Saccharomyces cerevisiae S288C: one gene and its partners. The protein of the gene in region 1 binds, or shares a complex with, the protein of each later gene. Each region holds a gene or a part of one and is shown in the gene's direction. Other genes may lie near its edges.

Region 1 (2,623 bases):
CTTGCTGCTGCAGGTCGTTGGGCGTTGATTCCTGTTTTTTTCTTTCGTTTTTTCAATCCGCGGGAGTGAGACATGATTAGTGTAGTCCTTGTAGAGTTCCTTATTTATTTTTTTATTAGTTTTCTTGTTTTCGTTTATCAGCAGGGTTTGGTTGTGTTGCTTGGCAGCCCGCAAATTGGTCTTCCCTCCTTGTTATTGTATTTTCTGTTATTAGAGCATACAGAACATAGAAACTCAAGATCAGATACAGTTTTTGCACGCCATGTCTCAAGGTACTTTATATGCTAACTTCAGAATTAGAACTTGGGTCCCAAGAGGTCTTGTCAAGGCTTTGAAGCTGGACGTTAAGGTTGTTACGCCAGATGCCGCCGCTGAACAGTTCGCAAGGGACTTTCCCTTGAAGAAGGTTCCGGCTTTCGTGGGTCCAAAGGGTTACAAGCTAACCGAGGCAATGGCGATTAACTATTATTTAGTAAAGCTTTCACAGGACGACAAGATGAAGACTCAACTTTTAGGTGCCGACGATGACTTAAATGCCCAAGCGCAAATCATCAGATGGCAATCTTTGGCCAACAGTGATCTGTGCATCCAGATTGCCAACACCATCGTTCCCTTGAAGGGCGGCGCCCCCTACAACAAGAAGAGCGTTGATTCTGCGATGGACGCTGTTGACAAGATCGTCGACATCTTCGAGAACAGATTGAAAAACTACACCTATTTGGCTACGGAAAACATCTCCTTGGCCGACTTGGTGGCTGCCTCGATTTTCACCAGATACTTTGAAAGCCTGTTCGGTACTGAATGGAGAGCTCAACATCCAGCCATCGTGAGATGGTTCAACACCGTTAGAGCCTCACCCTTCTTGAAGGATGAATACAAGGATTTCAAGTTCGCTGACAAGCCATTGAGTCCCCCTCAAAAGAAGAAGGAAAAGAAGGCCCCAGCCGCCGCTCCCGCCGCTTCGAAGAAGAAGGAGGAAGCCAAGCCAGCTGCTACCGAAACTGAAACTTCTTCCAAGAAACCAAAGCACCCATTAGAATTATTGGGCAAGTCAACTTTCGTTTTGGATGACTGGAAGAGAAAGTACTCCAATGAAGACACCAGACCAGTTGCTTTACCTTGGTTTTGGGAGCACTACAACCCAGAAGAGTATTCCCTGTGGAAAGTCACCTACAAGTACAACGATGAATTGACTTTGACTTTCATGTCCAACAACTTGGTCGGTGGTTTCTTCAACAGATTGTCCGCCTCTACCAAGTACATGTTCGGTTGTCTGGTAGTCTACGGTGAAAACAACAACAACGGTATTGTTGGTGCAGTTATGGTTAGGGGCCAAGATTACGTTCCAGCTTTCGATGTCGCACCAGATTGGGAATCTTACGACTATGCAAAGTTGGATCCAACTAACGACGACGACAAAGAATTCATCAATAACATGTGGGCCTGGGATAAGCCAGTTTCCGTCAATGGCGAACCAAAGGAAATTGTTGACGGTAAGGTCTTAAAATAATCTCTTCGTACTATCCTTCATGTCGCCTTTTATTATAAAGTATGCTAGGTAGTTTTATCTATATCTTATTTATGACGCAATATAGGGTAACAGAGTTTTTCTGCTCTGAAACTTCCGCAGAAAAAAAATCAAGTTTTCCTTTTCGTATCTTGGATTATTGTTATATAATAGATGCATGTATTATATGTATAGCAGTGATTTGCTTATTTTCTTGATTCTGAGGAATCGAAGAAGTAACTTAGCGTTTCTTCCGTTGAGCAGAGCAGTATAATAATCCTTCAAATTCTTTAGGTTACGGGGTTTTCCTGTTGCGATGACCGAAGAAACTATTACTATAGATTCTATTTCAAATGGGATACTGAATAACCTGTTAACCACATTGATCCAGGACATTGTAGCTCGGGAAACCACTCAACAACAATTGCTGAAGACAAGATATCCGGATCTTCGCAGTTATTATTTCGACCCGAACGGATCTCTCGATATTAATGGACTACAGAAGCAACAAGAGTCCTCTCAGTATATTCACTGTGAGAATTGTGGCAGGGATGTGTCCGCAAACAGACTAGCAGCTCATTTACAGAGATGTTTGAGTAGGGGTGCTAGACGTTGACACTAGGTGGTGGTTTATGGGTAATTGAAAAGGCACAGACAGATTTTAGCCCATTTCTTGTGGGCATAGGTTCATAAAAAAAGCAAGATTCTTACATTTTATGCGGCATATCTGCACATAGAAGTTCATGTAGTTATGTGGTAACATCTCAAAGAGAGAAGGCGAAAACTGTTTTAGCTATTAACTACATGTTTTTATAATAGCACCTCCCATATATGATGCCAAATGATACCTTGCATTCCGTTATGTGGAAGGGTTACACATAAGTACGCTATAACAATGCATTCAATTTTCTACATATCAGAGTAATATGCTGCAACATCACACCCATATAATATAATTTTTTGAAAGAGTTCCTAACTCTTTTTTGTTTTTCCTGTACCTATATACTCAAATAGTCCGCCGCAAGTAGCAGCTCTAACGACATTTCTGTCGGTATTTCAAACTCTGGAATCTCATCATCGTCCTCGCTAACGCCGCTGTACTTCAAATTATAATTT
Region 2 (4,308 bases), on another chromosome or scaffold:
TTTATATATTTTGCCACATCGCTTCTTGCAAGTAGATGTATAAAAATGATTGATTTCCTTATTATTTTCTATAGTATCTTCAACTTCATTATGGCATTCGTTTTCGTGTTATAAGTATTTCAGACGGGCTAATCTATCACTTCATAAATCTACTTTTCCAACTTACAAAAGCGGTTGCTTTTCTTCGAAATATAAAGCCCACCAACCATAAGAATAAAGAACAAGAGCAGGAGCGAAACGAAAGAGAAGATAAAGATTGTACCTTTTTGCTCCTGATTTTTTTTTGATTACGCTACGGTTAGTTGAGAGAATGTCCACTGCTGTGACTTTTTTTGGCCAGCATGTCTTGAACAGAGTTTCGTTCTTAAGATGTTCGAAAGAGTTCATCAAAAAATCATTGAACCATGACTCTACCGTTTTTATCCCATTTATCGAAGGGGAAGCCCTCATTTCGCCCGAAAATGGTGACCTAGTTCAGCTTTCTAATTCTGTAAAGTCTTACAAGAATATTTTGTCAGCAATAGTTCCTTTATACACTACTTTATTGAACACAACTCGCTCAAGAAGCGATGAATCAGGCATCAATGTAACATTTTTAGGTCTCCTGGAAGGCACAGATTCTGCATTTAATTTTGAATGGTCTAATATTTCTTACAAAGGAACACCATATTTTGGATTAGATATCCGTGTTACTGAGAGCACACTCTTCAAGAAAGTCGACTTTGAGCCTATTTTTTCCTATCCGAAGGTGACCAGAGATCACATTTTCAAACAAACAAATGAGGATGCTTCACTTTATTCACAAGGTAAGATGTATCTGGATTGGCTAGCAAAGTACAAATTCTGTCCCGGTTGTGGGTCTCCGTTATTCCCAGTAGAGGCAGGAACTAAGCTTCAGTGTTCTAATGAAAATCGGAATGTATACTGTAATGTGAGAGATGCAAGAATTAATAACGTTTGCTTCCCAAGAACTGATCCAACGGTCATTATAGCCTTGACCAATTCGGATTACTCTAAGTGTTGTCTGGCAAGATCAAAAAAAAGGTACGGTGATTTTGTATTGTATTCAACAATAGCAGGTTTTATGGAGCCATCAGAAACCATAGAGGAGGCTTGTATCAGAGAAATATGGGAGGAAACAGGCATTTCATGCAAAAATATTGATATAGTCCGGTCACAGCCCTGGCCTTACCCTTGCAGTTTGATGATTGGCTGTTTAGGCATAGTTCAATTCAATTCCAAAAATGAGGTTATCAACCTGAATCATGACGACGAATTATTGGATGCTCAATGGTTTGATACAACTGAAATCATTCAAGCTTTGGATAAGTACGCCGGCGGGTATCGTGTTCCATTCAAAAATGATATCAATTTACCTGGAAGTACTACCATTGCCTTCCAATTAATCAATCATGTTTGCGAGAACTATAAAAACTTACGTAAGACCTCATCGAGCCATCTATAGTTTTTAATATAATAAACATTGATAAATAGGCGTGCTTCAGCATATGGATATTTTTCACTCAGTTACCCGAAGAAAACAGAGGTGCGTCATAATGCAAATGCTAAATGAATGAATATAGGATGTTAGATTGCTGGTACAAGCAATTTTGAAACAAAAATCATTACGAACAGAAGAAAGTGGAGCTGAAGAGCGTATATAGTTGTTCATAGCTGTAAAATAATTTCTAAATTACTATTTAGAACCTTTTTGATATCCAGCATCGCTCATTAGAGATTAATTTACCAAAACGGAATAAACCAAAAAAATAAGAATAGTGAACACACAAGAGAAGCGCAAAAGAGTAAAGAGCTAAAATGAGGTCAGGCGATGCAGAGATTAAAGGAATTAAGCCCAAAGTTATTGAGGAATATTCTTTATCTCAGGGAAGTGGTCCTTCCAACGATTCATGGAAAAGTTTAATGTCGTCCGCGAAGGACACTCCTTTGCAGTATGATCACATGAATCGCGAAAGTCTAAAAAAATACTTCAATCCGAATGCACAACTCATTGAAGATCCTTTGGATAAACCGATTCAGTATAGAGTGTGCGAAAAATGTGGGAAACCCTTAGCTTTGACAGCAATTGTAGACCACTTAGAAAACCATTGTGCGGGAGCATCTGGAAAAAGTAGCACAGATCCAAGAGATGAGAGTACTAGGGAAACGATACGAAATGGAGTAGAATCAACTGGGAGAAATAATAACGACGATGACAATAGCAATGATAATAACAATGATGATGATGATGATGACGATAACGACGACAACGAAGATGATGATGACGCTGATGATGACGACGATAATTCCAATGGTGCCAATTACAAGAAGAATGACTCTTCTTTTAACCCTTTGAAAAGATCCACATCTATGGAATCTGCGAACACACCAAATATGGACACGAAAAGATCGAAAACTGGGACTCCTCAAACCTTCAGCTCTTCCATAAAAAAACAAAAGAAAGTCAAACAAAGAAACCCAACTGAAAAGCATTTAATTGATTTCAACAAACAGTGTGGTGTAGAGTTGCCGGAAGGTGGTTACTGTGCACGTTCGCTGACATGTAAGTCCCATTCAATGGGTGCAAAGAGGGCTGTCTCTGGTCGTTCCAAGCCCTACGACGTCTTGCTAGCAGATTATCATAGAGAACATCAAACAAAAATTGGTGCAGCTGCTGAGAAACGTGCTAAGCAACAAGAATTACAAAAATTACAAAAGCAGATACAAAAAGAGCAGAAAAAACATACTCAGCAACAGAAACAAGGTCAAAGGTCTAAGCAAAGAAATGTGAATGGTGGGAAATCAGCCAAAAATGGTGGTAAGAGTACTGTACACAATGGTAACAATATCAATGAGATAGGACACGTTAACCTAACTCCTGAAGAGGAAACAACACAGGTTCTAAATGGGGTATCCCGATCTTTCCCACTGCCACTAGAGTCAACGGTACTATCGTCAGTTAGATACAGGACTAAATATTTTAGAATGAGGGAAATGTTTGCTTCCTCCTTTTCTGTGAAACCAGGATATACATCTCCAGGTTACGGTGCGATCCATTCTCGTGTAGGATGCTTGGATTTGGATAGAACAACAGATTACAAATTTCGTGTTAGGACTCCACAGCCAATTAATCACCTCACAAACCAAAACCTCAATCCGAAACAAATACAAAGACTACAACAACAGAGAGCTCTACAGGCTCAGCTTCTTTCTCAACAACAGCAACAGCAGCAACAGCAGCAGCAACATCACTCACCCCAAGCGCAGGCCCAGGCCAGTACCCAACAACCTACTCAAGGTATGGTGCCCAATCATTTCCCCGGCGGGGCAACGAATTCATCATTTAATGCCAATGTGTCGAGCAAGCAAATTCAGCAGCAGCAGCAGCAGCAGCAGCACAAGTCTCAAGACACAGGTCTCACGCCGCTGGAGATACAATCACAACAACAAAAACTACGACAACAACAACTACAACAACAGAAGTTTGAAGCTGCTGCTTCATATTTAGCCAACGCTACCAAATTAATGCAAGAATCAAATCAAGATAGCCATTTATCTGGCACCCACAACAATAATAGTAGTAAAAACGGTAACAATAACCTCATGACGATGAAAGCCTCCATAAGCTCTCCCAATACTAGCGTAAATAGTATCCAATCTCCCCCTAGTGTCAACAGCGTCAATGGCTCCGGGCAAGGTGTATCTACCGGTATTAATGTCTCTGGCAATAACGGGAGAATTGAAGTAGGTATTGGAAATTCTGTGAACCCCTACAATGGCAGAATAAATTAATTGAATCATGCACGTTATCCAGCATGTTCACGAAGTGAGTAATAAAAAATTATTCGCCGAAGTAACATGTACACGTCTATGTTTGTGGACAAGTTACGCTATTTGCATTTAGAGATTTCTTCTCCAATGTAAATTATTTTTTCTTCGGGGGGTATACATTATTTATTTAAGTAGACATTATATTTCTTCATAAGGGTAGGAGAGAGCGAATACAAATGCCCAGTAAATTCCCCATAAGTAGTTCTTAAAATATAATACCATAAAAGTGGCCATAAATAGGAAGGGCCATGGATTATTGGGTAGAATTTTTATAAATGCCATATGCAAAATAAAATTAGAGAATGAAATACCGAATATTTCCCAAGGATAATACTTTTTTTCTTTCCATATGACTTTCTCGACGTTTTCTTCAAATGACTGAGTCATTGCTTCCCTAGAAAAGTATTTCTTGACTCTTAGCGGGCCATTCCTCTCAAAGTTCACAGAACCGTTCTGCAAGATCTTTCTGCTTTCATC
Region 3 (3,675 bases), on another chromosome or scaffold:
ACGAATCAAATGATCCTGTTAGTAGGGCCAATACGGTTCCTGATCTTTGTGGGAAGCTATTTGCCAATTGAAAACATGAAATGAAGACGAACGGACCGGCAACTGCCAAAAGCGTGTAACCGACAAGATATGGGTCCCAAAGAGACACTAGATGCTTGGCAGAAATAAAATTACCGCTTGCTAGGAACAAGAGACATGATCCTATTATTCCGCAGACACGAGGTCCATACATATCCAAAATCTTACCGACAGGAAGGGCCATGATGTTTGTTACAGTAGCACTGAGAGCAAATATAAAATTTAATTTCAGATCCTGTGCAGTACATAATAATCTATCACCATCCTTAGGATCACACAATTCATGGTATACACCTTCTGAAATTAAAATAGGTTTCAAAGCAGCAAATCCAAAGATAATACCAGCTGAAAAAAGACACCAGATACAAGCACAGGCAACCTGTGCGTATCTCAACGTTCTTGTACTGGTCATTACAGTCTTTACTGCCCTAATACTGGCCTAACGAGGAATAAAATCATTTATAGATGCCATTGTTATCGTTATCATAATGAAGCATCGTATCGGTAGTTAAGTTAATTTGACGTATTATTACCCGGAGGATTTAATCATGTATAAATATGTATGTGAAGATTATGTGAAGATTACGTGCTATATATACTTGCCTCAGGTCAACTGCTGGAGCCATTGAGCCACTTTTCTCACAAACCCTCTTGAGTTCGGCACAAAGTGGCCCCCAGAGTGCATTAGTAAAGTGCGAGAGTCTTCCGTACAAGAGTTATATAGGCCTTGCACTTTGGCCGGCTCTGTGATAGTGTCAAGTTCTCCTTGAACATGTAGAGATGGGACCGATATTGGATGCAGGTCGTACTGTTCTTGATACTGTTGTGGTTGGAACCTGAAACCACTGACCGCCATGAAAAATTCTAGCGGCGGCTGTTCTTCTGTTGTAAGGCCCAACAAACCATTGAAATCCGTTGCTAGGTATCCAGCTACACCGGCTCCTTGACTAAATCCTACAATACCTGCAAATGGACCATTTTCAAGGACATAATTGTGTAAATAGTCGATTGTCGTCTGCGGTATGAAATAGCCACCGGTGGAAGGGTCATTCTCTAGCCACGCAAGCACACCGGTATTCTCACCATCCCCAGGTGCATCAGCAATTACCTCACCCAAGAAATCAGGAACATCAGCTGGGGGAAATTCATTGGGTGCTGTTGGATAGTAGAGTTTATATCCTAACTTTTCCATTTCGGCGCGAAACCCCTTTGTCTTAGAGGCAAAGTAGTCACCTGACTGCGCAAGCCCATGTAACATCAATACATTCTTCGTCATGGTTACAGCTATTAAATCTTATAGTCTTGTAGTATTGCACATTCTTTCTTCACTTATACCTTTTTTTTCTTCTCTATTCTTCCTTTTTTTGCTTTTCTTTGAATTTTTCAAGTGAAAAAAAATCCTCGATTATAGTGTGTAAAAAGCATCAATAATTTATATTGTATATGGGCTAGAAAGCTGTCGTAATAGCAAAGGGATTATATTAGTGGACCTGATTAATTCTAAAAAGATATTTTACGGATAATAATAAAGGTTTTCTTTTGAGACCAGTTAGTCCATTTCTTTCAACTGGCTGTCATAATTTTGAATACTATTTATTGATCGGATCAAAAGGGAAAACTACAGCTTCGGTCCTCGTCGTCCTACTTGAAACCCTGCTTTTTTTATTTGTTATTAATAATTATGAGCATTTGTCCACATATACAGCAAGTATTTCAGAATGAAAAGTCTAAAGATGGGGTTCTAAAAACGTGCAATGCTGCCAGGTATATATTAAATCATTCCGTACCCAAGGAAAAATTCTTAAACACCATGAAATGTGGTACATGCCACGAAATAAACTCTGGTGCAACTTTCATGTGTCTACAATGTGGATTTTGTGGATGTTGGAACCATTCGCATTTTCTCTCTCACAGTAAACAGATTGGTCACATATTTGGTATCAACTCAAATAATGGCCTTTTATTTTGCTTCAAATGTGAGGACTATATAGGGAATATCGATCTGATTAACGATGCTATCCTAGCGAAGTATTGGGACGACGTGTGCACAAAGACCATGGTTCCTAGCATGGAAAGAAGAGATGGGCTTTCTGGCCTGATCAACATGGGATCCACTTGTTTCATGAGTAGTATTCTCCAATGTCTAATCCATAACCCTTACTTTATTAGGCACTCAATGAGTCAAATTCATTCTAATAATTGTAAAGTGCGTTCTCCAGATAAATGTTTTTCATGTGCACTCGATAAAATTGTTCATGAACTTTATGGAGCGCTGAATACAAAGCAAGCTTCTTCGTCATCTACATCTACTAATCGGCAAACCGGATTCATATATCTTTTAACTTGTGCCTGGAAAATCAATCAAAATCTAGCAGGGTATTCACAACAAGATGCTCATGAATTTTGGCAGTTTATAATTAACCAAATCCACCAAAGCTATGTTCTTGATTTGCCAAATGCCAAGGAAGTCAGCAGAGCAAATAATAAGCAGTGTGAATGCATAGTGCATACTGTGTTTGAGGGCTCCTTGGAAAGTTCTATTGTGTGTCCAGGCTGTCAAAATAATTCAAAGACAACCATTGATCCATTCTTGGATCTTTCTCTGGATATCAAGGATAAGAAAAAACTTTATGAATGTCTTGACAGTTTCCATAAAAAAGAACAGTTGAAGGATTTCAACTATCATTGTGGGGAGTGTAACAGCACTCAAGATGCAATAAAGCAACTAGGCATACACAAATTACCATCGGTTTTGGTTTTGCAATTGAAAAGATTCGAACACCTACTTAATGGAAGTAACAGAAAACTAGACGATTTTATTGAATTTCCAACTTATTTAAATATGAAAAATTACTGTTCAACGAAGGAAAAAGATAAGCATTCTGAAAATGGCAAGGTTCCAGACATTATTTACGAATTAATCGGTATTGTTTCCCACAAGGGGACGGTTAATGAGGGACATTATATTGCATTTTGTAAAATTTCTGGAGGGCAATGGTTTAAATTCAATGATTCCATGGTCTCCTCTATATCTCAAGAAGAGGTTTTAAAGGAACAGGCATATTTATTATTCTACACCATTCGTCAAGTAAATTGATTCAGCAAATAGCATTCAACAATAATAATAAAACAAAAAAGAAGAAAAAGCTATGCATATTCCTATCACAGTTAACGCTTGCTTCCGTTCTTTTTTCTATATCATCGTTTCCATCATGTTTTTCTTTAAATTGAATACTTTCCTATGCTCTTAATGAGTTGCGATTGTGCATATACTGTATTTCAAAATCCTTTGTATCTAACTAAGGAAGAAAATTACTATGACGTTTATTCAGGATTTTTTTTTTTCATTCCTTGCTATACGAACAAAAGAGCAAAGGCTGGAAAACTAAGTGAGTTTATATATAGTAATAATTAAAGAACATATCATTATCATGAATTTAGAATGCAAATTTGCTCCTCTCAAAATGGCATACCTTGTTGTTCGCGAAGGCAAGCCCTTGGTTATAAATAGGATATAATATAATATAGGGATCAAGTACAACTATTTTCTTTTCTTAGCAAGGAGACTTCCAAGAATATCCGTCTTTGGCGTCCTTG

The links.
Region 2: the proteins of SGF11 (region 1) and SGF73 are in contact, whole or in part, in a crystal structure (PDB 4FK5), measured with the Saccharomyces cerevisiae proteins. Residues at the interface, in NP_015278.1 of Saccharomyces cerevisiae: Thr5 (codon at 1,836), Ile6 (codon at 1,839), Thr7 (codon at 1,842), Ile8 (codon at 1,845), Asp9 (codon at 1,848), Ile11 (codon at 1,854), Arg30 (codon at 1,911), Gln34 (codon at 1,923); in NP_011449.1 of Saccharomyces cerevisiae: Asp5 (codon at 1,831), Ala6 (codon at 1,834), Glu7 (codon at 1,837), Ile8 (codon at 1,840), Asp70 (codon at 2,026), Lys71 (codon at 2,029), Pro72 (codon at 2,032).
Region 3: the proteins of SGF11 (region 1) and UBP8 are in contact, whole or in part, in a crystal structure (PDB 3MHH), measured with the Saccharomyces cerevisiae proteins. Residues at the interface, in NP_015278.1 of Saccharomyces cerevisiae: Asn18 (codon at 1,875), Leu19 (codon at 1,878), Thr21 (codon at 1,884), Thr22 (codon at 1,887), Gln25 (codon at 1,896), Asp26 (codon at 1,899), Ala29 (codon at 1,908), Arg30 (codon at 1,911), Thr32 (codon at 1,917), Thr33 (codon at 1,920), Gln34 (codon at 1,923), Gln36 (codon at 1,929), Leu37 (codon at 1,932), Leu38 (codon at 1,935), Lys39 (codon at 1,938), Thr40 (codon at 1,941), Arg41 (codon at 1,944), Tyr42 (codon at 1,947), Pro43 (codon at 1,950), Asp44 (codon at 1,953), Leu45 (codon at 1,956), Arg46 (codon at 1,959), Tyr48 (codon at 1,965), Tyr49 (codon at 1,968), Phe50 (codon at 1,971), Ser55 (codon at 1,986), Leu56 (codon at 1,989), Asp57 (codon at 1,992), Ile58 (codon at 1,995), Leu61 (codon at 2,004); in NP_013950.1 of Saccharomyces cerevisiae: Met1 (codon at 1,760), Ser2 (codon at 1,763), Glu51 (codon at 1,910), Ile52 (codon at 1,913), Asn53 (codon at 1,916), Ser54 (codon at 1,919), Gly55 (codon at 1,922), Ala56 (codon at 1,925), Trp69 (codon at 1,964), Asn70 (codon at 1,967), Asn88 (codon at 2,021), Asn90 (codon at 2,027), Asn91 (codon at 2,030), Leu93 (codon at 2,036), Asp101 (codon at 2,060), Tyr102 (codon at 2,063), Ile103 (codon at 2,066), Gly104 (codon at 2,069), Asn105 (codon at 2,072), Asp107 (codon at 2,078), Asn110 (codon at 2,087), Val127 (codon at 2,138), Pro128 (codon at 2,141), Ser129 (codon at 2,144), Met130 (codon at 2,147), Glu131 (codon at 2,150), Arg133 (codon at 2,156), Asp134 (codon at 2,159), Leu136 (codon at 2,165), Ile140 (codon at 2,177).

The regions. Positions count from the first base shown.
Region 1 is NC_001148.4:464,139-466,761, forward strand, and holds SGF11 (SAGA histone acetyltransferase complex subunit SGF11), read left to right. Parts: upstream 1-1,823; coding exon 1,824-2,123; downstream 2,124-2,623. Other genes in the region: CAM1 (translation elongation factor EF1B gamma), read left to right, coding at 263-1,510; ELC1 (elongin C), read right to left, coding at 2,506-2,623. UniProt on the Saccharomyces cerevisiae protein: Component of the transcription coactivator SAGA complex. SAGA acts as a general cofactor required for essentially all RNA polymerase II transcription. At the promoters, SAGA is required for transcription pre-initiation complex (PIC) recruitment.
Region 2 is NC_001139.9:375,791-380,098, forward strand, and holds SGF73 (deubiquitination module subunit SGF73), read left to right. Parts: upstream 1-1,818; coding exon 1,819-3,792; downstream 3,793-4,308. Other genes in the region: NPY1 (NAD(+) diphosphatase), read left to right, coding at 311-1,465; ALG2 (GDP-Man:Man(1)GlcNAc(2)-PP-dolichol alpha-1,3-mannosyltransferase), read right to left, coding at 3,970-4,308. UniProt on the Saccharomyces cerevisiae protein: Component of the transcription coactivator SAGA complex. SAGA acts as a general cofactor required for essentially all RNA polymerase II transcription. At the promoters, SAGA is required for transcription pre-initiation complex (PIC) recruitment.
Region 3 is NC_001145.3:714,956-718,630, forward strand, and holds UBP8 (ubiquitin-specific protease UBP8), read left to right. Parts: upstream 1-1,759; coding exon 1,760-3,175; downstream 3,176-3,675. Other genes in the region: FMP42 (Fmp42p), read right to left, coding at 1-490; FSH2 (putative serine hydrolase), read right to left, coding at 683-1,354; MRE11 (MRX complex nuclease subunit), read right to left, coding at 3,620-3,675. UniProt on the Saccharomyces cerevisiae protein: Histone deubiquitinating enzyme component of the transcription coactivator SAGA complex. SAGA acts as a general cofactor required for essentially all RNA polymerase II transcription.